Macaca mulatta: one gene and its partners. The protein of the gene in region 4 binds, or shares a complex with, the protein of the main gene of each other region. Links are inferred from orthologs where the notes say so. Each region holds a gene or a part of one and is shown on either strand. Other genes may lie near its edges. The genes, in order: USP15, CCNT1, USP4 and SART3.

Evidence for each region.
Region 1: the proteins of SART3 (region 4) and USP15 are in contact, whole or in part, in a crystal structure (PDB 5JJW), measured with the Homo sapiens proteins. The link is inferred for Macaca mulatta from reciprocal best matches to the Homo sapiens genes SART3 and USP15. Residues at the interface, in NP_055521.1 of Homo sapiens: Ser438, Ser439, Lys440, Glu443, Gln490, Arg493, Glu494, Trp496, Asp497, Met500, Thr501, Ala505, Trp511, Tyr514, Arg533, Cys537; in NP_001239007.1 of Homo sapiens: Ser23, Leu24, Asp48, Trp50, Gly121, Met122, Phe123, Val124, Lys125, His126, Lys128.
Region 2: SART3 (region 4) and CCNT1 share a complex: the UniProt entries of both Homo sapiens proteins name them as parts of the 7SK snRNP complex. The link is inferred for Macaca mulatta from reciprocal best matches to the Homo sapiens genes SART3 and CCNT1.
Region 3: the proteins of SART3 (region 4) and USP4 are in contact, whole or in part, in a crystal structure (PDB 5CTR), measured with the Homo sapiens proteins. The link is inferred for Macaca mulatta from reciprocal best matches to the Homo sapiens genes SART3 and USP4. Residues at the interface, in NP_055521.1 of Homo sapiens: Asp437, Ser438, Ser439, Lys440, Gln490, Arg493, Glu494, Trp496, Asp497, Met500, Thr501, Ala505, Trp511, Tyr514, Lys529, Arg533, Cys537; in NP_003354.2 of Homo sapiens: Met24, Thr27, Leu28, Ser53, Trp54, Glu123, Gly125, Leu126, Phe127, Val128, Lys129, His130, Cys131, Lys132.

What each region holds. Positions count from the first base shown.
Region 1 is NC_133416.1:69,547,733-69,555,364, reverse strand, and holds the start of USP15 (ubiquitin carboxyl-terminal hydrolase 15), read right to left. Parts: upstream 4,896-7,632; 5' UTR 4,895-4,895; coding exon 4,806-4,894; intron 1-4,805. UniProt on the Homo sapiens protein: Hydrolase that removes conjugated ubiquitin from target proteins and regulates various pathways such as the TGF-beta receptor signaling, NF-kappa-B and RNF41/NRDP1-PRKN pathways.
Region 2 is NC_133416.1:55,878,809-55,886,408, forward strand, and holds the start of CCNT1 (cyclin-T1), read right to left. Parts: upstream 4,495-7,600; 5' UTR 4,433-4,494; coding exon 4,272-4,432; exon of another isoform or gene 4,043-4,271; intron 1,208-4,042; coding exon 1,126-1,207; intron 1-1,125. UniProt on the Homo sapiens protein: Regulatory subunit of the cyclin-dependent kinase pair (CDK9/cyclin-T1) complex, also called positive transcription elongation factor B (P-TEFb), which facilitates the transition from abortive to productive elongation by phosphorylating the CTD (C-terminal domain) of the large subunit of RNA polymerase II (RNA Pol II).
Region 3 is NC_133407.1:112,775,549-112,783,176, forward strand, and holds the start of USP4 (ubiquitin carboxyl-terminal hydrolase 4), read right to left. Parts: upstream 5,024-7,628; 5' UTR 4,995-5,023; coding exon 4,894-4,994; intron 293-4,893; coding exon 165-292; exon of another isoform or gene 122-164; intron 1-121.
Region 4 is NC_133416.1:115,667,504-115,674,353, forward strand, and holds part of SART3 (spliceosome associated factor 3, U4/U6 recycling protein), read right to left. Parts: intron 2,987-6,850; coding exon 2,831-2,986; intron 2,094-2,830; coding exon 1,955-2,093; intron 1,256-1,954; coding exon 1,148-1,255; intron 441-1,147; coding exon 363-440; intron 228-362; coding exon 169-227; intron 1-168. UniProt on the Homo sapiens protein: U6 snRNP-binding protein that functions as a recycling factor of the splicing machinery. Promotes the initial reassembly of U4 and U6 snRNPs following their ejection from the spliceosome during its maturation.

The DNA of each region.
Region 1 (7,632 bases), about 46 Mb from region 4:
GTTGCTTTCCTAGATTTTTAAGCATCTAAGATGTGAAACATGTCTTAAGGTCACTATCTCTGTCCTTGTTTTCACCAATTTACCAAGACTAAAAAAGTTTTTCCTTTTGGTTTCATTTCCTATAAATGATGTAGTATATACCCTACTCTGGTTGTAAACACCCAGGCACTACTAAAATTAATTTAAAAATTTCTTTAAGTATACAATAAATATTTTGAAATTCATGTTAATAGTGTTCCTTTTCATTATTAAGGGATTTGTGAATATAAGGTTATTTTCTTTTAGTTTCAAAGTTGCACAAACATAAGGGATCAAATAAAATTAAGCCTCAAAGATTTCTAAGTAAAAGTAGGAATGGACAGAAAGCTGTAAAAACTGAAATCAATGTCTCTGGCCTAAAACTTAATTGATCAGATTCTTTGGCAATTGTTGAAATGAAAATGTCATAGAGATTTTAAATGACTCTACACACAAATTACTCTGTAAAGTTACCTTAAATCTACTACAGTTATTAGGGTTTATACAAAAATGGCATGCAATGTTTTGCTAAACTGCAAAAGTTAACTACACATTGCCACTTAACATAATCACACATAAAAATTACTGAAAATGATTGGCAGATGAATAACATTTAATAAAAATGGGGGAAATGAAGCAGTGCTTTGGATGATTTGTGGTTATGTTTTATTTACTCATAATAGGCCTATTTGTTAAAAAATTTCCAGACTGGAAATTTTACAGGTAGTTCACACCTGTAATCCCAGCACTTTGGGAGGCCAACGTGGGCAGATCACTTGAGGCCAGGAGTTCGAGACCAGCCTGGGTAACATGGGGAAACCCTGTCTCTACTAAAAATACAAAACTTAGCCAGGCGTGGTGGCCTGTGCCTGTAGGCCCAGTTACTCAGGAGGCTGAGGTGGGAGGATCACTTGAACCCTGGAGGTGGTTGCAGTGAGCTGAGACCACACACCGCACTCTAGCCTGGGCAACACAGTGAGAGTGTCTCAAAAGCATTTTTTTCCAAAGAGAGAATTTTATAACCCAAATGAGCTACAAATTTTCTTTGTAACTCATTAACTACCATACTTTAAATATGTTCCTAAAATAGTCATATGTACCTTAAGCAAATTATCTTTTTGTCTCATCAGAAGAAACTACCACGTATCTGAAAATTGTTTTAAATTCATCCTAAGCTATACAATTCTAGTTCATTTATCTCTTTCCGATAGTTCCTAAACTCTAAACCTTGTTCATGGTTTTCTGATCTCTTGTTGGAATTGAAATACAGATCAACAAATATCATTTTCAGACTGCTTTACTCCTTATACAAATCAGTGCTACCTTCATGGTTTTTAAAAAGGTATTACTGGCCGGGCGCGGTGGCTCACGCCTGTAATCCCAGCACTTTGGGAGGCCGAGGCGGGCAGATCACAAGGTCAGGAGATCGAGACCACGGTGAAACCCCGTCTCTACTAAAAATACAAAAAATTAGCCGGGCGCGGTGGCGGGCGCCTGTAGTCCCAGCTACTCAGGAGGCTGAGGCAGGAGAATGGCGTAAACCCAGGAGGCGGAGCTTGCAGTGAGCCGAGATCACGCCACTGCACTCCAGCCTGGGCGACAGAGCGAGACTCCGTCTCAAAAAAAAACAAAAACAAAAAAAAAAAGGTATTACTCTCTTGTATTAATTTTGATTTACTTCTCAATATAAAGTCTAGAACCAAATACATCATAAAGTATGTTTCTCTTCATCTCACACTTGTGTAACTTATTTTCATCTCTAGAAAATCAGATTTTTGATAAAAATCACTTACTGCTTACAAATAAAGAGAAACTGCAGTACTTACACAGAATCAAGTAAATCTTTATACTTGCCTAGGTATGGACGTTAGTTACCCAAGTCACCATGAGACAGTCATTATCTGCAAAGTACTCAAGAGCTAATAAGTGAAATTTATTCACTGCGATGCATTTGACTATAACTTCAGACATCTGTATTAAACTTTCAAGAATAAACTTATGGTAAGCCCACCACTTTTTCTCAATAGCCCAGTCTTTCCTAGACAGTTACATACTATATGCCACGACAATACTCCATATGGTAAATTTCAAAGAACCTGATTCAAAGATTAAAAAAAGGTATTAAAAGGAAAAACAACTTTCTAGTGAGTTCCAAAAACATAAACTAAATTAATACATATCCTGACCAGTTCTGTACTTGTAAGTTCATCATCAAATTCATACTTATCAAATTATTCTCTCTAAAACTCTGAATCAATTTTTTGTTCTATACTACTTTGTTTTTGAACAGGTTTCACTTGCTAATTTGCAAATAAACTGGCTTACAAATAAATCAAACTGGTTTCTGCAACTCCCAGTACCTTCTTTCTCTCTCAGGTTTTTTCCTTTAAGAGAAAGTTAACGTGAGGATAAACTTGCACAATCTGCTTTTATCTAAATATGTGGTCCTCAGTTTACTTTTATTTAAAATAAAAGCACTGAAATGACTCAAATTTATGAGCCTCTTGTATTCAGTCGTGCTTTATACTTGTAATACTAGCATTTTGGGAGGCTAAGGTGAATCACTTGCAGCTAGGAGTTCAAGATCAGCATGGGCAATATAGTGAAACACAGTTTGTACCTATGGAGCTCTACACACACACGCACATATATAAAACAATTTACATTAATTTTGTCAAAAAGCAAAAATATACTCATTTGAAAATACCAAACTTTATAAAGTTAAACGCCCACAATGCACATATTGCTCCTATCATCCTGTAGTGTCAACACCAATTACTCCATATACAAAAACGTGACATTAATGAGACAATAATACTTATATTTTAACTTATAGACTTAATAGATTTCTATTTTAAGGAAATTCACTTTTTAAAATAAGGTGGTAATAGGTTGGGTGAATTAAGAATTTTTAAATGTTCTTTAACTTACAATAGTGAGCAGGGACTTATTTGTCATACCACAAGCCAAGGTAAACATGGGTGTCCTAGGAAATGTCCAATTTCCCCACAGTAATAAACATCTTACTAACATTATAATAAAAACAGTAACTTTCTTTTTTTTTTGAGATGGAGTCTCACGTTGCCCAGGTTGGAGTGCAGTGGCCGGATCTCAGCTCACTGCAACCTCTGCTTCCTAGGCTCAGGCAATCCTCCCACCTCAGCCTCCTGAGTAGCTGGGACCACAGGCGTGCCACCATGCCCAGCTAATTTTTTGTATTTTTGTAGAGACGGGGTTTTGCCGTGGTGCCCAGGCTGGTCTCGAACTTCTGAGTTCAAGTGATCCTCCCTCCTCGGCCTCCCAAAGTCCTGGGATTACAGGCGTGAGCCACCCTGCCAGGTCAAAAATAACTATTATTAAGTCACTTGAAGATTCTATTTTTTTGATACAATGAAACAAGTATATATTTACATCCTTAGGGATTTCTATCGTATACACATAGTATACAGCCTACCAAAAAAGAAAAAAGAGACTAAGACTTAGATCAAGGTTAAATTATGGTCCTAAATCTGCCACCTATTAGCTTAACTGAAAATGATCCCAGTATCACAGCCTTTTGTCAAGAGTAAAGAGCAGAAGGTAACTAAAATTTAGTATCTCATAAACATAAAATTCTTAAGATATTAAAACGAATCAAGATAAAACCTTTATAATAAAATACTGTCCATTTTACAGAAGAGACTGAGGTGCAATGATTTAAATTAACTCTCCTCAAAGTCATACTGCAAGTTGAGTGGTGAAACTGTGACATAACTCAGGTCTAAATCTTACTGCTCCTTCCACTATGCCATAGTGAAACACTCTATAAATTATATACTACTGTTATGGTAACAGTGGGAAGTGAAAATATTTTTTATTATAATGAAGAGGCACATTATCCTTCCCCAAAAATAAGGAATTTTAAATTATGTTACATATTCACATATTTAAGTTATTCTAGATGCCACTGGATATGGCCGACAAGTGTGAAAATGTCCACATACATCCTTCAGTATTATAAATATATATCCTTTGGTATTTTACAAGTTCGAATATTAGCAGTTAGTTAAGCCTCAAGTGGACTTATCAACTTTTTGCAGGCCTACGTTATTCTTCAAACAGAAGGGAAGGGCTGCACATCTAACAGAAACGCTGCCGGCTTTTATCAAGCCACCACTAAAGCACAAGACCACGTGGTCTCTCATAAGCCTAAGGTTCCCTACTCCTCTCCCTCCTTTGACAAGGAACTGGAAACTAGGGTTTCTTTCTCTTATGTGGGGCACTGACATGCCACCTGTGTAGTACAGACCGCAAACATCCTGCAGCCTGCCTCCCGGAAGACTACAAGAATCAGAATAAAAGGGAACTTGGACGCCGACAATTCTAGGAAAGGAAATGAACAGAGAAGTAAAGCCGGTGAGATCATGATAAGCCGCGGCACCGGGACCTGTCAAAACAGCGTATATGAGACTCAAACCAAACCACTATAACCTATCATTCGAGAAGGCCTGAGGTGGGAGCGGCACTACGGAAGGAAGGAGGAAGAAGAGAACCGCACGAGTCAGTGCCGCCGCCGCCGCCGCTCTCCGGACACCTTTCAGCATGCCCTGGCAAGCCACGAACCCTGACCCTCATCTAGAGTCCAACCTTTGCCCTAACATTTCAGAAGCAGCCAAAATCCTGCTACCCCGGCGGCCGCCGCCAGACCTGCCCGCACCTGTCACCAGCGAAAGACACCAGCTCGCGGCTCCCGCCCTCTTCTCCACTATCCTCGGGCAACCGCAGGCATCTCAACCCCTTTCTCTTACCAGGTGTCCCCTTTCCGGAGCGAGGTTTTGAGCAGCGTCGCGATGTCAGACCGCTGGGTGTCCAGATCCGCCGCTCCGCCTTCCGCCATCTTCTTCCACTAGCGGTAGGGGAGGTGGCAGCGACGGCGGCGGCACGCCCCAGAGCATTATGGGAATGGCGTCCCCACGGCCCCTCCCAGTCGGCCGGTCGAAACCAAAAGACACCGGGAGCGGGGGTGGTCCTCGGGACAAGAGGAGGCCCCGGGGGCGGACTAGGTGCGCGGCCATGGTCTGCTGCCCCCCATCGGTCCCCGCCCGTTCAGCATCTTGCCTCGGCCTCCTCTGGCTCGGGACAGCCAGGTTTTAGCTCTCCTCGCCGCCGAGGGCTCCGGCGCTCTCTCGCTAGAAGGATGCCACCGCCCTGTCCTCCCATCCTCGGCGTTGCCTTCCCCTCCCTCTTTCCCACTGACGCCTTGAAAACCCTTATTTGCGCATTCACTCACGCCTGGGGGTGAGGTAGGGTGGGGCGGGGGGGCGTGGGGACGGCTAAGATATGGCAGAAAATTTAGCAGCTCCGCGACTGGGCTTTTCGTTAAAAGTAGCAGAACCCAAGCTCGGTGAATACGGGCACACACAAAAAACATTCCGAAACCGAACGCTTGGTCTCCATGCCCTTCCGGGGTTCCTTCCAGCGCTCTTACTCCCATTGTAGGTGGGGACCCTTTATAGGCTCTTTGTGACGCCTCCCCAGGCACACCCAGACGACTAAGCTGCGGTGAAAAACATGTCCCAGTTCATCGGTGAACATCGAGTAGAATATGGACATTATTGAATAATGCCAGATACTAAAGGAAGAAAACGTGAGAGAAACCCTCTTCTTTATACAAGAGAGTAACATTTTCTTAGCCCCATCTTCCTGTGGTGCCGTACACCTGAAATGAAACTAGGTATGTCTTTCATTTGAAGTCAACGATTATGTTACAAAATAGAAAATCGAGTCGCTTAAAAAGCAAATGCCAAGGTCACACAGCAGGTGGAGAGGTAAGTGGAGAGGCTGGTTCAAGAGCCCACGTGCTATACAGTACAGCACACTCATTGCCTCTCCTTATGAAAGCCTGGACTAAAATGTAAACTCCTTAAGAGCTGGAACTGGGTTCATCTTTTGTTTTAACCTCTGTATACCTGGTGGTTAGCATAGTACTACTGGACATGTAAAAATCACCTAAATATTTGTTTAATAAATGAATTGTGGCAAAATTACTTAAGTATTCCCGAGCATGATGTCCAGGGGTTTGATTTTAACATACCATTTGATGTGAAAAGTCTAAAAGATGGGCCAGAATCCCTGCATCATTTCTCTTGTTTCCCCATTTTAAACCCTAACTCATTTGGTGAGAATGCAATGAAGAAGGTGTAGTTACGCTAGTAGAAAGTGATGAATCCTTCCAAGTGAAAGTAGTGTACATTCGCATTATGATTTGTGTATATCAGTATTATGATTATGATTGCTTATTTCTGCATCATAATAATATTTTGCATTATCATGCCAAGCTTGAATTGAGAGTTTTAAAACAACTTTCAGTGACTGTTATTTCTGGCTTTTCTCCTGACAGGTTAAAAGACTGAGAGTTTCTCTAACCACGGCTACCCTCTAAAAGTCACATTTCCCCCCTTTTTCCAGTCACTCTCTGAAAGAGAACAAAGTAATTTTCTGAAGGGAAGCTGCAGAATATGGAAAACATATATTAGAGCCACATGGACATAAATTCAAACCTCACTTCAACCTTTAGCTGCAAAGTTCTTACCCTTTAATCATAAAATTGAGTATAATAATACCTACCTTAAGGGATTTTTATGAAGATTAAATGAAACAATTTGTGTTTATTGCTTGGAATGTAATAGCCATTCAATGAACACTAGTATTGTTTATTGATGACAGGGTGAATTTTACAGTATGTAAACTATACCTCAAAAAAGCTATTGAAAAGAAGTGTTAGGGGTTTTGAAGGCAAAACTGTGCTCTCCTTCATTTTATAACATAACCAAGTAGCAATAAATCATTCATACCCTAATGTCCAGTTTCCCTTAAGAGAAAATGCATTTTTGAAGTGTTGACACCTACAACCTTACAGTGAAGTAAAATAATATTTTCTTCACTTGCACCATGCTCAAGGCAGTAAGTTAACTGGATATAGATGTGTACATTTAATGACCATTTGAATTATACATCAGATTTATGGAGCCATTTTGTAGACCTAACTGACTGCCATCAGAGTCAGGAAAGAGATAAAATTATAGTATTTTATTTAGCAAGCACTTACAGAGTGCCTAGCATGGTTCTAAACACTTTAAAGTACTAACTTAATTCTCACAGCAGTCACATGATATAGGTACTATTATTATTTCAAGTCTAGAGATAAGGAATTGAGGCAAGTAAGTGGCAGAACCTAAATTGAAACCAGGCAGTCTGGCTGCAGAATCTGGAAAGTTTGGGTAAACTTCTATTTTTCTATTGACCTTTATTATTTTGTTTATAGCAATCAACATTTTAGAGATCTCAGTTGATCAATTTATGGAAATTCTGCTTATTTTACTGGTGCTTCTCTCAATTATGAAGAGAAATAAGATATTGTTCATAAATTGGTTAAAGTCCACATCCCTACTGAATAATTAAATAGATAAATTGATGAGAAAAGCTACTTCACCTTAATCACAAATAATTGAATATAAATCAGGGATTATATCTGCTTATTTAGAATGAATGTCTTCACTGATGCATTCCTTAACATCTGATGAATGTACAGTTTGCTCGGTGATTGTTATTGCCTTCTCAGACTCTGTGTACCTT
Region 2 (7,600 bases), about 60 Mb from region 4:
GAGACACCACGCATAACCTACTTTTCATGTTCTTAAAAGTCATTTTCCCAGTTATTATTACATAATGTACCTTCCCCTCCAACTGCTGACTGGAATTTTATCAAAGGCTTTTGGAAAATCTAAGTAACTTACATTTACTTCTTTTGCTGTGACCATATTTTATAAACTACTTCAAAATTAACACCACAAATGGCGGCTTATGCCTGTAATCCCAACATTTTAGAAGGTGGAGGCGGAAGGATCCCTTGAGCCCTGGAGTTTGAGACCAGGCTGGGCAACATAGGGAGACCCTATCTCCACAAAAAAATTTTTTTAATTGCCAGGGATCGTGGCAGGCCTGTGGTCCCAGTCACTTGGGAGGCTAAGGCAGGAGGACTGCTTGAGACCAGAAGGTTAAGGCTGCAATGAACTATAATCAAACCACTGCACTCCACCATGGACAACAGGGCAAGACCCTGCCTGTCTCCCTGCCCCAGCAAGAAAAATAAAGCTATACGTAAATTACACATGATTTCCCCTTTAATGTTACTCCTCCAATCTCAAAATGTTGACTTTAGATGTCTGATAATCTGTTTTTGGGGGTTTTTTTGGGGACAGGGTCTCACTCTGATGCCCAGGCTGGAGTGCAGTGACTCGATCTTGGCTCACTGCATCCTCAACTCCCTGAGTTCAAGCAATCCTCTTGCCAGCCTCTGGAGTAGCTGAGACCACAGATGCATACCACCACACCCAGCTACTTGGTTTTTGTTTTTGTTTTGATATTTTGTAGAAATTAGGTCTCATTATGTTGCCCAGGCTGGTTTTGAACTCCTGGGCTCAAGTGATCCTCCCATCTCCGTCTCTCAAAGTGTGGGATTACAGTTGTGAGCCACTGCACCCGGCCTAATCTACTTTAGAGAATTGACATGGATGTACTATAAATCCACTAGACAAGCAGACACTTAACAGGAAAAATGAAAAGCTGGATTCAGAACAGCAACACAGCGCATAATGAAACTGATCAACCCTAAATTCTAAAGTTCAAGTCACAGTTCAGTAGCAAAGACCAACCACAAATGGAATAGGTAGTTGGAATCAATCACAAAAGGATTACACCATAAAAAAAAAAAAAAAAATTATACTTACATTTCCAGGAAACTGTGTGAAGGACTGAATCATGTAGAATCGATGCATGTATACTATAGCAGTGTTGATAGTCAATTGCGAGCTGAAGAGTTCAAGTTAAGATCCAAAAACAGGCAGGTATAATTCTGGAAAAGATAACCTCTATCTCCCTCCCAAAAGGATGAAATGGCCAAGCAAGTAGATGCTACTAAATGAAAATCATACTTATCTCTCCAAATCAAAGAATATGTCTGTTTTCTTTCACCAAATTACTAATCACCAACTGACACTTATTACAATGGCTTACACATAACAAATATTTAATATAAATGTACTGAATGAATAAACAAACATATCAAGATGCATGGATCTAGACAGAGTTTTAAAAAAACTATATAAGGCGGCCGGGTGCGGTGGCTCACTCCTGTAATCTCAACACTTTGGGAAGCCGAAGGGGGTGCAGATCACCTGAGGTCAGGAGTTCGAGACCAGCCTGACCAACACAGAGAAACCCCATCTCTACTAAAAATAGAAAATTAGCTGGGCGTGGTGGGGCATGCCTGTAATCCCAGCTACTCGGGAGGTTGAGGCAGGAGAATCGCTTGAAATGGGAGGCGGAGGTTGCGGAGAGCCAAGATCACGCCATTGCACTCCAGCCTGGGCAACAAGAACAAAACTCCATCTCCAAAAAAAAAAAAAAAACCAATTTATAAGGCCTGGCTGGGCACGGTGGTTCACACCTGTAATCCCAGGACTTTGGGTAGAGGCAGAGGCAGGTGGATCACCTGAGGTCAGGAGTTTGAGACCAGTTTGGGCAACATGGCGAAACCCCTCCTTGACTAAAAACACAAAAATTAGCCAGGCATGGTGGCAGATATCTATAATCTAATATGATTTACAGCGCCCACCCTGATCTGGCCCATAGGTATGTCTCCACTACCTCTCTCACCTGCTAAACTCCATCAACTAAATTACTTTCTTTTTTTTTTTTTCAGACAGAGTCTCGTTCTGTCACCCAGGCTGAGTGCAGTGGCACAACCTCAGCTCGCTGAAACCTTCACCTCCTGGGATCAAGCAATTCTCCTGCCTCAGCCTCCCAAGTAGCTGGGACTACCGGCTGGGCCACCACGCCTGGCTAATTTTTGTATTTTTAGTAGAGATGGGGTTTCACCTTGTTGGCCAGGCTGGTGTCGAACTCCTGACCTCAAGTGATCCACCCGCCTCAGTCTCCCAAAGTGCTGGGATTACAGGCATGAGCCACCACACCCGGCCTAAATTATTTTCAGTTCCACTTCTCTCTGGCAACCAAGCCTTCTCATGTGGTGATCCACGGGACAGGAAACATCTGAAATGATCTGATAATTCATTAACTGAAGAGGAACAAAAAACTTGTAAATGCCTTACTTCTAAAAACTTCAGCAGACAATATGGGGTAGAGAGATGATGCAGTCCCAAATTACAACAGCCTTTTTTTGAGGGGGCAGAGTCTCGCTCTGTCGCCCAGGCTGGAGTGCACTGGTACCATCTTGGCTCACTGAAACCTCTGCCTCCCAAATTCGAGCGATTCTCCTGCCTTAGCTTCCCCAGTAGCTGAGATTATAGGCACTCGCCACCAAACATGGCTAATTTTTGTATTTTTAGTAGGGACGGGGTTTCACCATTTTGGCCAGGCTGGTCTTGAACTCCTGGCCTCAAGTGATCGACCCGCCTGGGCCTCCCAAAGTGCTGGTATTACAGGTGCGATCCACCGCGCCTGGCTGACAACCTTAATGACAACACACATACAAAAAGGAAAGCGTTTTAAGGATACACTGAAATAGAATTTCGAACAAAAAGATTTACTCCGTACTGATAGGATGCTTAGGAAACACATCTGGACATCAGCAGGAAACAAACTGGCGATAAAAAAGACACCCATTTTGAGATGCACACACCCTTAAGATACAAACATTACTGTCAGCCACACATTTAAATAGAAGCTGCACCCAAGAAAATTTTCACACACAGAGTGGAAAGAACTTTAAAACTATACAAGTTTTCTCCACCACAAAATAAGTGTATTTCCTGACAAACAAAAATATGTGGGAGAGGATACCTCATTTTTTTTAAAATTTTTTTTTCTGAGACGGAGTTTCACTATTGTTGCCCAAGCTGGAGTGTAGTGGCGCGATCTCGGCTCACTGCAACCTCCACCTCCCGGGTTCAAGCGATTCTCCTGCCTCAGCCTCCTGACTAGCTGGGATTACAGCTGCCCGCCACTAAGCCGGGGTAATTTTTTGTATTTTTAGTAGACAGGGGTTTAATTATGTTGGCCAGGCTGGTCTCGAACTCCTGACCTCAGGTGATCCACCCGCCTCGGCCTCCCAGAAGTGCAGAGATTACAGGTGTGAGCCACCGCACCCGGCCGTTACCTCATTTTTGAAATAGAAAGAAAATGAAATACACACCACCACTCTAAGTAACTTAAGGACCCAGTATTTTGTAAACGATTTAAAACATTAGATTCGTGGGTAACCCCTACAAACGTAAACTAACATCTTTCCTCTGAAATTCTATAAAACAGCAGCTACTAATTGAGCATCTTAATGCAAAGCATTGTGATGGACACAGAATCAAACACAAGAGGTATCATCCCATTTTATAGACAAGACGACCAAGAATTTGACAGGTCACTTAAACAGCTAGCAGATGAGGAATGGATTTTGGACCAAGGCTGAGGCATTAATTCTAGACCACCCTTTATAAGACTTTCAGGTACTGAATTTCTCGAAATTTACACACTAGGTTTCGGAAGCAGCCCTCAACAGAGAAACCTCTGCCAGACCCAAACCCCTAGGGCACAGCGGAAAATGAGAAACTTAACGTCACCAGAGCCGATCAGAACACAACGAAGAGAGAGTTGGAAGGGCTGGTTAAAACACGAAGCCGGGAAGGATACGAATGCCCAGCAAGGTTGGTGGCACGGGTGAGCGAGCGGGAAATCAACTCCGCCTCGCTTCCCTAGCGCGAACTGAGTTTCAGCCCGCCCCATCGTGGGCTCTCCCAACTAGACATCCAGCTTCTGCCCACCTTCTTCCCCACTTTCGTCCCCCACCAGAGCCTGAGACCTAGACGCCAGAGCATGGCGGGACCAACTCAAAGGCCGAAGGCCTAGGCCGCAAGGATACACGTTAAGACGCTGCCCCATGTCCTGGAGCAGATTGGCCGCCTGCTGGCGATAAGAAAGTTCTTTATCTGGGTCCACACCAAATCGACGGGATGGGCTATTTTCCAGCTGTTCTCGAGTGAAATACCACCGTTTGTTGTTGTTCTTCCTGTCTCCCTCCATAATGCTTCAACCAGAAGGCAGCGGCGGAGGCTGCAAACACTTCCCAGCGTCACCTAAGAGGCGACCCACATCCGCTGTGCGGGGGCAACTGCGACTTGACGAACTTCCGCTAAGCGTCGACCGCCGGGTTGTGACTCTCTTCCGTAAAGAAAGCAAAAGTCAAAGGACCTACTTCCGGAATGCACCTCGCGACACCCCGTAGCCGAGTTAACAGCCAATATGCGACGAGAAAAAAACCTTGAGGCGAGGACGCAGGCGCGTCACGTGACCCTTGGGAGGTGGCGTGGGCTTAGAAGTTCTCGCTTAAAAACCATGAATCTTCCCGCGAGAACCGGATTGAGCGTTGGCGCCCGGGGTTAGGTTGTGAGGTCGCAATTGTAGTGGTATGAGGCGCCCGCCCACGCGCCGCTTGGTGGTTCTTAGGAGAACTTAGTTTGTGACTGCAGTGGTGATATAAAATGGGGCAGATGGACCGCGCGCGGTGGTTCACGTCGGTAATCTCAGCACTTTGGGAGCCCGAAGCAGGCGGATCACGAGGTCAGGAGTTCGAGACCAGCCTGGTCAATATGGCGAAACCCCGGTCTCTACTAAAAATACAAAATTAGCCGGGCGTGGTGGCGTGCGCCTGTAGTCCCAGCTACTCGGGAAGCTGAGGCAGGAGAATCGCTTGAACCCGGGAGACGGAGGTCGCAGTGAGCCGAGATCGCGCCACTGCACCCCAGCCTCCAGCCTGGGTGACAAAGCGAGAGACTCCGTCTAAAAAATAAATAAAATAAAAATGGGGCAGATGAACTTGAAAGAGAAAGTAGGTGAGGCTGTCAGAAACTGAAAAACAGAATCAAATGGTGGGGCTCTTTCGTATATGGGAACATAAAGCAACTAGAAGGCTGTTACGTTGTTGGTAGCAATGTAAAATACGACAACCCATTTGGAGAGGTCGCTTTAATGTGTAGCCAAACTCATGAAAACATTCTCACGTTTCGCCGCAGTGATCCAACTTAAAGGAATAAAATGAAATTAATAACATTAAGAGCTTACATGTCCCATGCACAATACTGACTTAAATATACTGTTTCATTTATTCAGCGGAACTCTCAAGAGGTAATTTTTAAGTACGTTTGCTAATGGGTGAACTAATACTGCCCCTTGAGTGTGAACAGCCTCCACCACTACCCCTCACTTGCAGAGATTAGCAAATTCCTGCCCTCTGTCAAGATATTTCCCAGCTCCTTTGCCGGCGCGGTGGCTCACGCCTGTAATCCCAGCAGTTTGGGAGGCCAAGGCGGGCGGATCACCTGAAGTCCGGAGTTGGAGACCAGCCTGGCCAACATGGTGAAACCTCGTCTCTACTGAAAATACAAAAATTAGCCAAGTGTGGTGGCGCACGCCTGTAATCCCAGCTACTCGGGAGGCTGAGGCAGGAGAATGATTTGAACCCGGGAGGCGAAGGTTGCAGTGAGCCTAAATCTAACTGCACTCCAGCCTAGGCGACAGTGCAAGACTGCTTCTCAAAAAAAAAACAAAAAAAAAAAAACCGGATATATCCCAGCTCCAGCGTCTGATAACTGTTTGGTGCTGGCAAGATAGTTAACCTCTCTATGCCTCTTTTCTTTGATAATACCTATGTTTTAGATTGTGAAAGGGAGTAAAGATTTAATGAGTAAAAAGTATTTATAATAGTACCCAATACTTAGGAAATATTCAGTAGCCCTTAATGTTATAATATTTGTTACATTGTATTGAAATTGAAGGCAAGAGCAATGCCTTCATTTTTGTATGGCACCTACCTAGTAAAGTCCTGGCCGTAGTAAATAGTCCCTAAATCTTTGTCAGATAAATGTGCAAAACACCCACAACACAGAAACTGAGGCTCTGGGAGTTTGCCCTCACTACACCACTAATAAGTGTAGATCTTAAATCTAATTCCGTTGGTCTTCCCATTCACGCAATTCCCATTCACTTCCTGCTTTTCTGGAACCACGTTCAGTTTACCTTGATTAAATTTGGGTAATTTTAGATAGATTTGGATAATATTAGAATCCTGTGTCTTGCTTTGATAATATTTTGGGTTTTGTCATTTCTAGGCATAGGTGATCTTACTATGTTTGATTGTCATTCATTTTCAGAAGTGTTTCCATTTCAGGTCACCTCTGCCATATACTGCCTGTAGTTAGTACTAACTCCATTTTACCCTGGAGAAATTGAGGTTCAGGAAGATTTAAATGACTTACTTCTGGTTATAAGGGAAAATAACTTAGGATTTCAAACTTCTTCCCTCATAGACTCTTTACTATTAACAGAATAAGCACTTATAAAATAGATTTTTTAGTAGAATAAGCACTTTTTCAGTTATGTAGTCATGTATGTTTTCTTTTAAACAGCTGTGTTAGTCCATTTTCATGCTGCTGATAAAGACATACCCGAGACTGGGCAATTTACAAAGGAAAGAAGTTTAATGGAGATCTCACAGTTCCATGTGGCTGGGGAAGCCTCACAATCATGGCAAAAGGCAAGGAGCAAGTCACATCTTACCTGGATGACGGCAGGCAAAGAGAGAGCTTGTGCAGGCAAATTCCCATTTTTTAAAAAACCGTCAGATCTCAGGAGACTCATTCACTATCGTGATAACAGTGCAGGAAAGACCTGCCCCATAATTCAATCACCTCCCACCGGGTTCCTCCTACCATATGTGGAAATTGTGGGAGTTACAATTCAAGATGAGATTTGGGTAGCGACACAGTGCCAAACCATATCATTCTGCCCCGGCCCCTCACAAATCTCATGTCCTCACATTTCAAAATACAGTCATGCCTTCTCCACAGTCCCCCAAAGCCTCAACTCATTTCAGCATTAACTCAGAAGTCCACAGTCCAAAGTCTCATCTGAGACAAGCAAGTCCCTTCTACTATTAGCCTGTAAAATCAAAAGCAAGTTAGTTACTTCCTAGATACAATGGCGGTACAGGCATTGGGTAAATACAGCCATTCCAAATGGGAGAAATTGGCCAAAACGAAGGGGCTACAGGCCCCATGCAAGTCCAAAATCCAGCAGGGCAGTCAAATCTTAAAGCTCCAAGATGATCTCCTTTGACTCCATGTCTCACATCCAGGTCACACTGATCCAAGAGGTGGGTTCTCATGGTCTTGGGCATCTCCACCCCTGTGGCTT
Region 3 (7,628 bases), on a different chromosome or scaffold from region 4:
TCTCATTAAGGGTTTGCAAAGACTTCTGCTATAGATGCAAATTGAGGGTACTTGTTTCTATCTCCTCACACTAGGAAAGTTCACAATGTCCATGTTATAGATGCACATAGTATCAGGCCACTGCCCAGGTGAATGTTTAGCTGGAAAAGCAACATTTACTATACCTGAAAATAGCCCAGAGTTGTCTATTGGGCCAGGAAATAGGTTATGTTCGCCCACATTGTACATGTCCCAGCTGTCAAAGCCCACATACTTCTTCCACTGCTTGAACCACCGGCTGTCAATAAGATACCTAGAGAGAGAGACAAAAATTTACTGTAGCAGAAAAGCTGAGATTATAAATGTCTGCAGCTGCTTCCTTAATCTTTTTTATGGTCCTTCCACTTGAGGCATATGCAATCCCCACTAAAAAACACTGTCACAAGAGCAGGAGCAGGGCCTAGGCCCCACATGGCACAGAGAGTCTGGCCCCAGGGTATGCATCCATTAAGTGAAATGATTGTTCAAAGAGTGAATAAAAGAAAGAAAACAAGTGACTTCAAAATGCTTATTTAAATGGAGTCTTTCTTTTTTTTTTTTTTGAGACCGATACTTTCTTTTTTTTTTTGAGACCGAGTCTTGTTCTGTCGCCCAGGCTGGAGTGCAGTGGCATGATCTTGGCTCACTGCAACCTCTGCCTCCTGGGTTCCAATGATTCTCCTGCCTCAGCCTCCCAACTAACTGGGATTACAGGCGCCCACCACCACGCCCAGCTAATTTTTGTATTTTTAGTAAAGATGGGGTTTCACCATATTGGGCAGCCTGGTCTCGAACTCCTGACCTCAGGTGATCCACCCACTTCGGCCTCCCAAAGTGCTGGGATTACAGTGCCTGGCCTTTTTTTTTGAGACAGAGTTTCTCTCTTGTCACCCACGCTGGAGTGCAACAGTGTGATCTCGGCTCTCCGCAACCTCCACTTCCTGGGTCCAAGCGATTCTCCTGCCTCAGCCTCCCGTAGCTGAGATTACAGGTGTGTGCCACCACGCCCGGCTAATTTTGTATTTTTAGTAGAGACAGGGTTTCTCCGTGTTGGTCAGGATGGTCTCAAACTCCTGACCTCAGGTAATCTGCCCACCTCAGCCTCCCAAATTGCTGGGATTACAGGCGTGAGCCACCGCACCCTACCACAAGTCATTAATTTCATAATGATCTTTATAGAGGTCCCAGTCTAGGCAGACAGTTTGGTTACACTGTTTTACTTGACATGAACAGCACTAAACTAATGCTCTTTCTGAAAATGGGTTAGAAACACCATCCACTTGTTTTCTTTTAAGGACCAAATGAGTTCCAAAAATGTACACACAAGGCCAGGCACAGTGGCTCACACCTATAATCCCAACACTTTGGGAGGCTGAGGCGGATGGTCACTTGAGCTCAGGAGTTCAAGACCAGCCTGGGCAACAAACCCCATCTACTAAAAATACAAAAATTAGCTGAGTGTGGTGGCACATGCCTATAGTCCCAGCTGCTCGGGAGGCTGAGGCACAAGAATCACTTGAACCCGGGGGGACAGAAGTTGCAATGAGCTGAGATCACGCCATTGCATTCTAGCCTGGCTGACAGGAATAAAAACCTGTCTCAAAAAAAAAAGTATATAACATGCGTGTACATATATAAATATACACATACACATGTACATATAATAGCACTTAGGTATGTTCATCTTGTCAAAAAGCATTAAGTTGTGCTTCATATTCAACTTACCACTTTTTTACTTAAATGTAAGCAAATGTGGTATTTTATTTATCTATTTATTTCCTTAGAGAGAGGGTCACCCAGGCTAGAGTGCAGTGGCACAATCATAGCTCTCTGTAGCCTCAAACTCCTGGGCTCAAGTGATCCTCCTGCCTCAGCCTCTGAGTAGCTATGACTATAGGTACATACCACCATGCCTGGCTAATTTATTTTTTTATTTTTATTTTGTAGAGGCTAGGTCTTGCTATGTTGCCCAGGCTGATCTTGAACTCCTGGCCTCAAGTGATCTTCCTGCTTCAGCCTCCCAAAGTGCTGGGATTACAGACATGAGACATTGTGCCAGACCTATTTATATTTTTAAAGTATCACTATGCTGGCTGGGAGAGGTGGCTCATGTCTGTAATCCCAACACTTTGGGAGGCTGAGGCAGGTGGATCACGAGGTCAGGAGATCAAGACCATCCTGGCCAACATGGTGAAACCCCGTCTCTACTAAAAACACAAAAATTAGCCGGGCGCGGTGGCTCAAGCCTGTAATCCCAGCACTTTGGGAGGCTGAGACGGGCGGATCACAAGGTCAGGAGATCGAGACCATCCTGGCTAACACGGTGAAACCCCGTCTCTACTAAAAAATACAAAAAGCTAGCCGGGCGAGGTGGCGGGCGCCTGTAGTCCCAGCTACTCGGGAGGCTGAGGCAGGAGAATGGCGTGAACCCGGGAGGCGGAGCTTGCAGTGAGCTGAGATCCGGCCACTGCACTCCAGCCTGGGCTACAGAGCAAGACTCCGTCTCAAAAAAAAAAAAAAATAAATAAATAAATAAATAAAAACACAAAAATTAGCCGGGCGTGGTGGTGCCTGCCTATAATCTCAGTTACTAGGGAGGCTGAAGCAGGAGAATCGCTTGAACCCGGAAGGCAGAGATTGCAGTGAGCTGAGATCATGCCACTGTACTCCTCCAGCCTGGCAACACAGCGAGACTCCGTCTCAAAAAAAAAAAAAAAAAAAAGTATCACTCTGGGGTTTTACAATTAAAACAGAATCTCTGTGGAGCAACAAAGCATCAACAATTATATTGGTGCATCCTTAAAACTGTATAACCAACAAATGTGAGAGGAGTTCAGGCAACTTCCCAGAGGTCACAAGGATCCATAAACACATCCGTCTCGAAAATGCTATTTTTCTTCCAAATCCCTTGAGCAATACCTTCCATACAATTTTACTGTATGATTTTAGTCTTAAACTTCCTCTGCTTCTGCTGAGTATTCTTTATGAGCCCTATACAGGTTAACTTGAGAAGTACCTCTGCTAGGCCAGGCGTGGTAGCTCTAGCCTATAATCCCAGCACTTTGGGAGGCCAAGGCGGGTGAATCACTTGAGGTCGGGAGTTTGAGACAAGCCTGACCAAAATGGAGAAACCCTGTCTCTACTAAAAATACAAAAAAAAATTAGCCGGGCATAGTGGCGCATGCCTGTAATCCTAGCTACTGGGGAGGCTGAGGCAGGAGAATCACTTGAACCCTGGAGGCACAGGTTGCCGTGAGCCGAGATCACGCCATTGCACGCCAGCCTGGGCAACAAGAGCGAAATTCCTCAAAAAAAAAAAAAAAAAAAAAAAAAAAACCCACAAAAAAAGTACCTGTTTACTCTGACTTTCACAAACTGGCTAGCTCAAGGTGAATACATAAGCTGTTATCTGTACTCCTCATAACCCCAATTTTTCTATCCTCCAGCTCAATTCCTCTGTAGGTCATCACCACAATGGTTTCTTTTTTTTTTTTTTTTTTTTTGAGACGGAGTCTCGCTCTGTCGCCGGGGCTGGAGCGCAGTGGCGGGATCTCAGCTCACTGCAAGCTCCGCCTCCCGGGTTTACGCCATTCTCCTGCCTCAGCCTCCTGTGTAGCTGGGACTACAGGCGCCCGCCACCTCGCCCGGCTAGTTTTTTGTATTTTTTTAGTAGAGACGGGGTTTCACCATGTTAGCCAGGATGGTCTCGATCTCCTGACCTCGTGATCCGCCCGTCTCGGCCTCCCAAAGTGCTGGGATTACAGGCTTGAGCCACCGCGCCCGGCCCACAATGGTTTCTTAAAGATGGGTAACACTCGGGCCGGGCACGGTGGCTCCCACCTGTAATGGGAGGCAGAGGCGGCTGGATCACAAGGTCAGGAGTTCGAGACCAGCCTGCTCAGCATGGTGAAACCCAGTCTGTACTAAAAATACAAAAAATTAGCTGGGCATGGTGGTGTGAGCCTGTAATCCCAGCTACTCGGGAGGCTGAGGCAGGAGAATCGCTTGAACCCGGGAGGCGGAAGTTGCCGTGAGCCGAGATGGCGCCACTGCACTCCAGCTTGGGCAATAACAGTGAAACTCTGTCTCAAAAAATCAAACAAACAAAAAAACAAGATGGGTAACACTCAATCATACTAAATGCAAAGTCTAGCCTTAGTTTTTGTACTACACAATAATACCACCCAGGAATCTCTCCAGTAGTACAAAGTATTGTCCCCTCCACCAAACAATCTGTTAAGATGTCCAATAACTCAGCCTGGGTCTTCTAAATTCTGGACTCCTCATCTTCTATCTAGCTCCAGGACCTAGGCTATCCCCCTCTCCCACTCCGAGATACTGCTGTCACAAATATTTTTGACACTTGCTACCAAAATAATCTGGGGCTCTCAGACATTTGTTCAGCTTCTGACCTTGACATCTGTTGGCAGTTTACAAGTTACAAAGTACTTCTGATTTTCGCCTCAACCCACTGAGGGCGGAGAGCCAAATATTGCTATCCTGGTTTTAACAGTGAGGAATCCAGGTCTGTGACACCTTCGCCCAAGGTCACACGGCGAGTCCTCATGGTAAAGGGCTCTCCCCACCCTCAGGGTCCCCGCCAACATTCCCCTTCTCCACATCCATCCCCCTAGCCCCCGCCGGGCCCACCCACTGGGGCTCCAAATGAGCCGAGGCGACCCTCAGGCCCCGCCTGCGCTTTCCCAGAGCTGATCCTGGAGTTCTCCCGAGGGGCAGGTGTCAGGCTACTCTTCCAGGGTCACTACATACCATCCCCGCCCAGCCCCTACTGTAGCCGAGAAAAAGGGGGCTGGCCTAAGGGCCAGATACTCGGCCCCTGGTTCTGCACAGAGGAAGAGAGAGCCGGATGCTCACCACTGCGCGCCGCGTTGGAGTGTGGTCCTCATTAAGGCTCCAAGCTCCGACTTCTGAGTCTCCGCATCCGGTCGCTCACCGAAGCCTCCACCTTCCGCCATCTCGTCCGCGGCCCCGGCCCAGCCGGCCCGGACATCCGCCCCGCGCGCGGCGTGCTATAGACCGCGCCCACGCACGCACGCACGCACGCTCGCGTGCCCGCCCCTGCCCCACCTCGTGCCGCGGCCTTCGGCTCCTGCAGCCGCTGTCTTTTATCCCCTCCAGTCTCGCGCCACTTCGCTCACCGGCAAACAGTGGAGCGAAAAGGCAGATGCGAGAGGGGTGGGTGGGGAGCAGCAGCTGCTACTTCGTCCCGCCCTGCCGCCTGCTACGCGGTCGTCGGGCGCCCCTTCCTCTGCTCAGGATGGCGCTACAGGATGAAGCTCTGTTCAGCCCGCCGATCTCAGGGAGTCAGACAGCAAGCCCACGACCCATGGGGCACCCTAGCCCGGCCTTCGAGGTTATCCTGGTCCTAAATAAATGCAGGCCAGGTGCGAGAAGCCCCGTAGTTAGGTCTGTTCATTCTCACCCCTGCCATTCCGCTTTCAGCTGGAGGCCTTAGGCGAGTCAGCTGCCCAAACGTGGGATCCGGGCTCCTGCTCCAGCGGCCCTAACAGGGATTTCGGGAAGTACCACGTGCATCAGCGCCTTGGGACTAAGACTGAACGGTGTGCTGTAGTTATTAACAGTCGCCTTAAACAATCTGGACGCCAGAGCCACCTGGCCCACCTGAGAATTCCGTCAGCTCTTCATACTGAGCTACTTGCCAAGCAGCCACAGAGGGGCGATAGCAACAGGGGAAGGAGAGGTATTCCACATTAGTTACCCAGGCATGTACTTAGTTCCTGGAACAAGATACAACGTCCTGAACACTGTGTTTTCCAGTCGCCCCGCTCACACAAACACACAACCCTCTTCCTGGAGGGAGAAATAAACCCAGAGGAAAGAGGAAGTCAGGTCTAGATGAGTCTCCATACACTTGTCTAACAGTTCTTGTCCTCAGAGAAAAATAAGACCTAGTTCCTGCCCTCATAGAATCTAGTGGAAGAGTAGAGATGTTTCAGAAATAACCTCAATGCCTAGCAGTATGTGGTAAGTGCAATTAAAGGGTGTGAACCAGGCCAGGTGCAGTGGTTCAAGCCTGTCGTCCCAGCACTTTGGAAGGCTGAGGCGGGAGGATAGCTTTAGCCCAGGAGTTAGAGACCAGCCTCCGCAACATGGCGAAATCCTGTCTCTACAAAAATTAGCCGGGAGGTGGCGCGCGTCTGTGGTCCCAGGTACTCGGGAGGCTGAGGTAGAAGGATCCCTTGAGCCCAGGAGGTCGAAGTTGCAGTGAGTCGAGATGGTGCCACTTCTCTCGAGACTGGACGGCAAAGTGAGACCCTGTCTCAAAAAAACAGTAAATACAAATAAGGGGTGTGAACCGGCCAGGCGCGGTGGCTCACGCCTGTTATCCTAGCACTTTGGGAGGCCGAGGCAGGCAGATCACCTGAGGTCGGGAGTTCGAGACCAGCCTGACCAACGTGGAGACGGAAATGTCCTCTCAAAAAAAAAAAAGTGCTGGGCGCCCGGCAGGGCAGTTCATGCTTGTAATCCCAGGACTTTGGGAGGCCATGGCGGGCAGATCACGAGGTTAGGAGTTCGAGACCAGCATGGCTAATATGGTGAAACCCCATCTCTACCAAAAATACAAAAAAAAGTTAGCCAGGCGTGGTGGCGCATGTCTATAGTCTGAGCTACTCGGGAGGCAGAGGCAGAAGAATTGCTTGAACCCAGGAGGCGGAGGTTGCAGTGAGCCAAGATTGCACCACTGTACTCCAGCCTGAGCGACAGAGTGAGACCCCCTCTAAAAGAAAAAAACAAAAAAGGCCGGGCGCGGTGGCTCAAGCCTGTAATCCCAGCACTTTGGGAGGCCGAGATGGGCGGATCACGAGGTCGGGAGATCGAGACCATCCTGGCGAACACGGTGAAACCCCGTCTCTACTAAAAAAATACAAAAAACTAGCCGGGCGAGGTGGCGGGCGCCTGTAGTCCCAGCTACTCCGGAGGCTGAGGCAGGAGAATGGCGTAAACCCGGGAGGCGGAGCTTGCAGTGAGCTGAGATCCGGCCACTGCACTCCAGCCTGGGCGACAGAGCCAGACTCCATCTCAAAAAAAAAAAAAAAAAAAAAAAAAAAGGGTGTGAACCAAAGGCTGTAGAACACCAGGCACAACCCCTGCTCTCATAGGAAACCTTTGACTTGAGTAACATTTGGGTGTGGTATTGAAAAAAAATGCTGGCAGAATAAAGATGAGGATGCATGTAACAGGAGGGGAGACTCAAGGGACCAGAAGAGAATTTCTGGAACAGGCAGGACAGTTTCAGAGAGTGGGGATTAGGCCAGTTGAGCCGGGCACTACAACACTACTACAACCTAAGGGGATCTAAAGCTAGAAAGGAGGCCAGACAGACCATATATCCTGCCTTAAAAGGCAGGCAGGCATTGTAGGAAGTTTTGGAGCAGAGACAAAATGACTGAGGGTTCTCAGACACAGAACCATTAGGACCCTCTCACTATGGAGGTGGCTGTGAGGGAGAAGAGGAGAAACAGATGAGCCATGTCTATTTTATTTTTTTATTCTTATTTTTCTACCCTATTCCTGTTGAAAAGATGAGCTATGTTTTGTGTCAGGGGTGAAGGAAGGGGAACTGGCCC
Region 4 (6,850 bases):
AAATAACATGAATCCTTGTAGAGCCTAGACCATTACTTAGGTAAATAACACAAATCCTTATAGAGCTTAGCCCATTATTTGGGATTCTGACTCAATTTTAATTAAGGTTTAATAGGATGCTATTCAACAATGGTGGGTGAAAGTGGTAGATTTGTCAAAAACATTTACCTCAATCCTAGCCCAGTTCTGCATAATCACACAGCTTGGATCACCACTTTCATTGAAACCTTCAAACACAGAATTAGTAAAATTAGAAAGGAACTTGGAGACAAATAGCCTCTAGCTGGAAAGGTACATCAACCAGGAAATAGTACAGACCAGGAAATACAACTGGGCAAAACCACAGGCTGGGGCATACTTACGCTCTTCCACCTCCTGCTTCAGATACTCCAAGGCACGAGTAAAGGCGGCCCTCAACTCCTCCAGCTCTTTACTGGAGTCTAGTGGAAAGTACAAAAAAAGGCTTTAGGAAACCACATAGCCTGGCTTTGTTTGTTTTGTTTTTTATCCTATGCTGAAACTGCCCAGAGACCCATTATGTACCTGGCATCATGCAAGGGACACAGAAATAAAATTGCCAATTCCTGCCCTCATCACATAGTCAGGGAGAAAGAAATTAGAACACAGTAGAGTATGGACAGCATGGTGAAAAAGGTGAACACAGAGTGCTGTGTGGGGGGAGTCTCCCCCAGCTGGGGTGACACAGGCAAACAGAAGAATGGCTAAAGGCTACCTGTATGAGGTGACAGCTGACATGAGTGTGCAAGTACAAGTTAGGGGTTTTCTGGCTGTTTTGGGGGGGGACATGAAGGGGCAGAGGATCCCACAGAGGTACAAACATTTTTCTAAAACACAGCAGTCTTATTTCAAGAAGTATTTAGGATAAATAAAAAGACCAGAAAAGAGAAATGAGAGCTAAGACTAAAGAGGCTGGCAGAGCCAGTATAAACCATTACTCTCTTGCTTTACAATCCACAGCATGACTTGTTAAGATAGAAATCACTAGGATTTCTGGGGGAAAAAGTCACCAATGCCTAGTCTACATCATTTGCCCAATCACAATGTTATCTGGGGAACTGGGACATCTCGCCAAAAGTTGTGTTAAGAACATGTTCAGCTCTGAAGTGAAAAACATGCGCTTAAATACCTTGTTTGAAATCAACCCTTCTCCTCAGGTAATCAAGGTATGCCTGCCAAATCTCCACATAATCAGTGGCCTGGATGAAGCCAGCATTCAAAGCTTTCTCGAAGGTTACTGGAGTTGGAGAAAAAGTCAGGATTTGTTACCAATTCAAATGGAAGCTAATATAAAGTTACTGCATTCTACTGACTATAAAACACTACATGGGCCGGGCGCGGTGGCTCAAGCCTGTAATCCCAGCACTTTGGGAGGCCGAGACGGGCGGATCATGAGGTCAGGAGTTCGAGACCATCCTGGCTAACACGGTGAAACCCCGTCTCTACTAAAAAATACAAAAAACTAGCCGGGCGAGGTGGCGGGCGCCTGTAGTCCCGGCTACTTGGGAGGCTGAGGCAGGAGAATGGCGTAAAAACCCGGGAGGCAGAGCTTGCAGTGAGCTGAGATCCGGCCACTGCACTCCAGCCTGGGCGACACAGCGAGACTCCGTCTCAAAAAAAAAAAAAAAAAAAAAAAAAAAAAAACACTACATGACTTTAAAGACTAACAGATGCAACAGGATGAAATGAGCTAGACAGGAATGTTGAAGAGAGAGAAAAGACTACAACTTCTTAGAAAATGCAATGAATATTAGCATGTTAAAAAGCTCAAAGAAGCCACAAATATAACCAGTTCATCTCTCAGAGCCCTTTTTGTCACTACACTCCATATCCCAAACAAAACCCCAGGCAACACTGATGTAATGACTTTGTCACCGCTCTCTGTTTCTCACTTGGGACAAATAGCTTAGAAGTTCTCCCACAAAAACATCCGCACCAGAAATTACTTGATGATCAACTCCATGTCTCTCCATGGCCAAGAGGTACCGACTCCATAAGGCAACTGTCCAGGGGCAGTTTCTAACAGCGCGGTTATGTACAGATAAAACCAAATCCTTTACTTTCAGTTGCCGATCCTATGATAAAGAATTCCAGAATCAGGAAATTAAACTTTATTAAGAATTCACCATCAACAAGACATTGCCAGCACAACCAAGTGATGAAAGAAATATCCTTATAAACGTCTCTTGGGACCGGGTTTCCTCAAAAAAAAAAAAAAAAAAAAAAAAAAAAAAAAAAATTCACTAGGGGGAGTGGAGGAAAAGGACAGAAGCAACTTATAGGTTAAAAGAGCCTTAAGAGACGTCAGCCAACCCTACTGGATAGACCTCATTTGGATCCTTTTATACATATACACTGAAATATTTTATATACACATATTGAAATATTTACCAATGAAATATCATTTCTGGATTTGCTTCAAAGTAACACATAAGGGGCAAGTAGGTGAGACTACAGATCAAAGTAAACTAAAGCTATAATTGTTAATAATTATTGAAGCTGGGTGGGGGGTACAGGAAGTTTCATTTTACTTATCTACTTTTATATGTTTACATTTTTTCCATAATACAAAGTTAAAAGAAAAATATCAATTTGTTTTAAGTCCTCAACACAGACTATATGCTAATTTTACTTACAGTTAGTGACCATTTTAAAATAACCTGAAACACTAAAACTTCCTAAACAAGTTGGCAAAGAGGAGAAAAAGTGGATGGAGGAAAAGCAAGAGCAGGGCCATATGCAACAAACTCCTGGCACTCTAAGTAGATTATAAATTGGCAAAAATAAAATGAAATTAGAACAGTGATCTTACTAGGTACTGACTGTAACGGATCCATAAGTCTGGGACAAGGCAGTTCTCGACCAGGGCGCGCTCAAAGATCAACTGAATGCGAGCAGGATCGCCAATTTTCATCTCAAAATCGATATATGCTTGATATTCTGACAGCCTTGGTGCCTCTGCCTGCAACTAGAGTACAGGAAAATTGTATTAAAGTTGAATTGAGTTACTGGCAGGAAGCACAACACATCTGCAAATAAAATAAATTTTGGCAAAACTGGCTACAGTAACTAAGAATCGCCAAATCCTCACTCTCAGAACCACTCCACTATGGCCTCCACAACTTCTTGAGCAGAACAAGAGTCTTCTCATCTGGTCCAAAGTGCCAGTTCATGGCAGTCATAACAAAGGCTCCATAAACCCTTTTCTAAATCCATTCCTAGACCACAGGGAATTTAAGTGGCCCATCAATCGTGAACTGAGTGAAAGAGCAACACAACACCTTTGCCAGTGACCACTGTTAACCACCCTTCCAAACCAGAAGTCATGTTCTTGGGCTACTGAGTCGAGTTAATACAACCAAACTGGAAAATTGTGGTGCCTGATGCTATTCAAGTTTCTTATTCCAAATATCAGTTCCTGGAAGAATGTAGGTAAATGCAGAAAATGGAGGCAGCTGTGCTGAATGTTTAATGATCCAAAGACATACGATCAAATTCTTTTTAGAAAAAAATCTTATTCGACATGTTTTCTCTTCAGGCATATTTTGCTGATGGCCATGACATAATGGAATGATTGGAGTTTTGAGAAGAACAGGTACATGCAAATCATTTACACATGAAAAAGAAAGGAAGGAGTAGTGCAGAAGAGTAAGAAAACACGCAGGCTCCGTACTCAGAAAGGGGATGTTTCACAGCCTCCATTTCTAGTAACGAGAAAGAATTAGTTACCCAGACACACTGTACCATTCAAAACAACTAAAACTACTAAATTAAATATAGTATCTTCTTAAAATTCATCAACAAACTGGCAAAGAAACAAGAAATTCTAAGGACTAAGGACAAAATCTAAATGAGGGTGGCAAGCTAAGTAAATGTTAACCTTTTGCTGGCTTGACATACATTAAGAATTTGATCTTCACAATTCTATTGTTGGCAAAGAAAGATAGAAAAAACAGTCAAAAAGCCCAAAAAACCTCAAGCCAGTCCACACATGGACCTACTGCAATGAAATTAGAGGACAGTAAACCAAATCAATGAGATCTTAAAAGCAGTCAGAGAAAAAACAGTAACTACCTCTGAAGAAGCAAGATTTATACAAACCGCTGACTTCTGAACAGCAACAACAGACATCAGAAGACAGAAAGATACAATCAATTGCTGAGAACACACTGTCTGTCCAGAACTCTTTTGTTGTTGTTGTTGGTCTAGAATTCTATAGCCTAAGAAAATAATTTTCAAGAAGGGAAGTAAAGACCTTTCTGAACAGAGAAAATCTGTTACCAGCAAATCGCCCTCGCAGGGGACTCTAAAGGTCACGTGTTGAAGACACTGGACAAATTTATAATATTATTATAAAGCTTTACAGAAAGACAAGATGTAAGTAGCAGAAACCTATACTATGTTCATAGATTGGAACATGTAAATTCTTCCCAAATTCCCCAAACTGATCTCCAGGTTCAATGCTATTCCAATTAAAAAAAAAAAAAAAAGATTTTAAAAATATAACTACAAAAGCTGATTCTAAATCTGATGGAAGCATTGAAGGCTAAAAAAAAAAAGCCAAGATACTCTTGAAGAGGAACAAGGTGGATGGGACTCACCCTATCCAAGAGCAAAACATTATAACTCTCATCATTACAACAGTGTAACGTAAGCCAGTGGGACAGAATAGAAAATCCAGGAGAAAGACCCACACATACATGGACAGCTAATCTATGACAGATGTGGCACTGCACATCAGTGAGGGGAGGAAGGAATAATCAAACTCAGTACCAGAACAACTGGTTCTCCATATGGAAAAATGAAACCAGACCCAGTCTCATACCACTTAAAAATCAATTCCAGGTGGATGAGGCCCTAAATATGAAACAGAAAACTATAAAATTGTTATAAGAAATTAGAGTTAACTAGGGAATATTTTTCAAATAAGCACAACAAAAGCACAACCAAAAGGTAAAGAATTTTAATCTAATTGGATTTATCACTAAGAACTGTTCATCAAAAAACACCATTAAAAAAAAAAAAATGAAAAGGCCGTCACGGTGGCTCCCGCCTATAATCCCAGCACTTTGGGAGGCCGAGGCAGGTGGATCACCTGAGGTCAGGAGTATGAGACCAGCCTGGCCAACATGGCGAAACCCCATCTCTACTAAAAACACAAAAATTAGCCGGGCGTGGTGACGAGGGCCTATAATCCCAGCTACTAAGGAGGCTGAGGCAGGAGAATCGCTTGAAACAGGGCGTGGGGGGCGGGGGAGTTGCAGTGAGCCGAGATCACGCCACTTTACTCCAGCCTGGGTGAAAAAGCGAAAACTCCGTGGGTGGTGGGTGGGGTGGGGAGGTGAAAAGACAAACAACAAACTGGGGAGAAAATCTGCAACACATACAGCCTAAAATAAGACTTAAGACTCAGCATTCCCACAAATCAATTAGAAAAAAGATACATCAAAAGGGAAATGGGTCAAAGACTTTTTTTTTTTTTTTGAGACAGAGGCTCGCACTGTTGCTCAGGCTAGAGTGCAGTGGTGTGATCTCGGCTCACAGCAACATCCACCTCCCAGCTTCAAGCGATTCCCCTGCCTCAGCCTCCCAAATAGCTGGGATTACAGGCACCAGCCACCATGCCCAGCTAATTTTTTGTATTTTTAGTAGAGACGGGGTTTCACTATGTTGGCCAGGCTGGTCTCAAACTCCTGACCTCGTGATTCACCTGCCTCGGGCTCCCAAAGTCCTAGGATTACAGGCGTGAGCCACTGCGCCCGGCCCAAACACATTTTTTTAAAGAAACAGGGTTTTGCTTTGTCACTCAGGCAAGAATGCAGTGGCATGATTACAGCTCACTGCAGCCTTGACCTCCTGGGCTTCACCTCTGGAGTAGCTGGGACTACAGATACACAGACACGTGCCACCAAGCCCAACTAATTTTTTTTTTCTTCTGTAGAGACAGGGTCATGCTACGTTGCCCAGGCTGATCTCAAATTCCTGGGCTCCAGCAATCCTCCCGCCTTCGCCTCCCAAAGTGCTGGGATTATAGGCATAAGCCACTGTGCCCAGCCTGAAGACTTTAACACGCACAAAAACTTGAATGGCCAATCCACGTGAAAAGATGCTCAACTTCATTAGTAACCAGGGAAATACAAATTAAAACTACAATTTCAAATTCATCAAATTAAGTAGAATTTAAGTATGTCCAATATCCAAGACTGGCACAAGCAACAAGAACTCTCAGATAATGCTCACAGCAGTGCAAACTGATAACCTGGAAAACACTTTAACAACACACTATGATCCAGCAAAGTCATTCCTAAGTATTCTAGAGAAACTCTTTTTCATGTGTACAAGGAGACACACACAAGAATATTCAGAGTGGCACTGCTCCTCCTCCTAGCAAAAAATTGGAAATGACCCAACTATCCAGCAACATAGATAAATACATTGCAGTATACAGACAACTTTACAGCAGTGAAAACAAATGCACTGGAACTATACTTAGCAACATGAGTAAAACCCAAAAGCATGTTCAATGAAAATAAAATATACAGCATGATTCCAATATATAAAAGTTCAAAAGCAAGCAAAATTAAATATATTAATTAAGGATACTTTCATAGCTTGTAAAACTATAAAGAAAAGCAAGGGAATGATTATCACAAAAGTCAGGAAAGTGATTACCTCTCGGGAGAGGGAGGAGGAGGCAATCGGAGAGGGGCACATAGGAGACTTCTAAGGTACTGGCAATGTTCTATTTCTTAACCTGGGTGGTAGGTACATGGATGTTCACTTTATTATTAGTATGTAAACTGCATGTATACATTTATACACTCTATATATT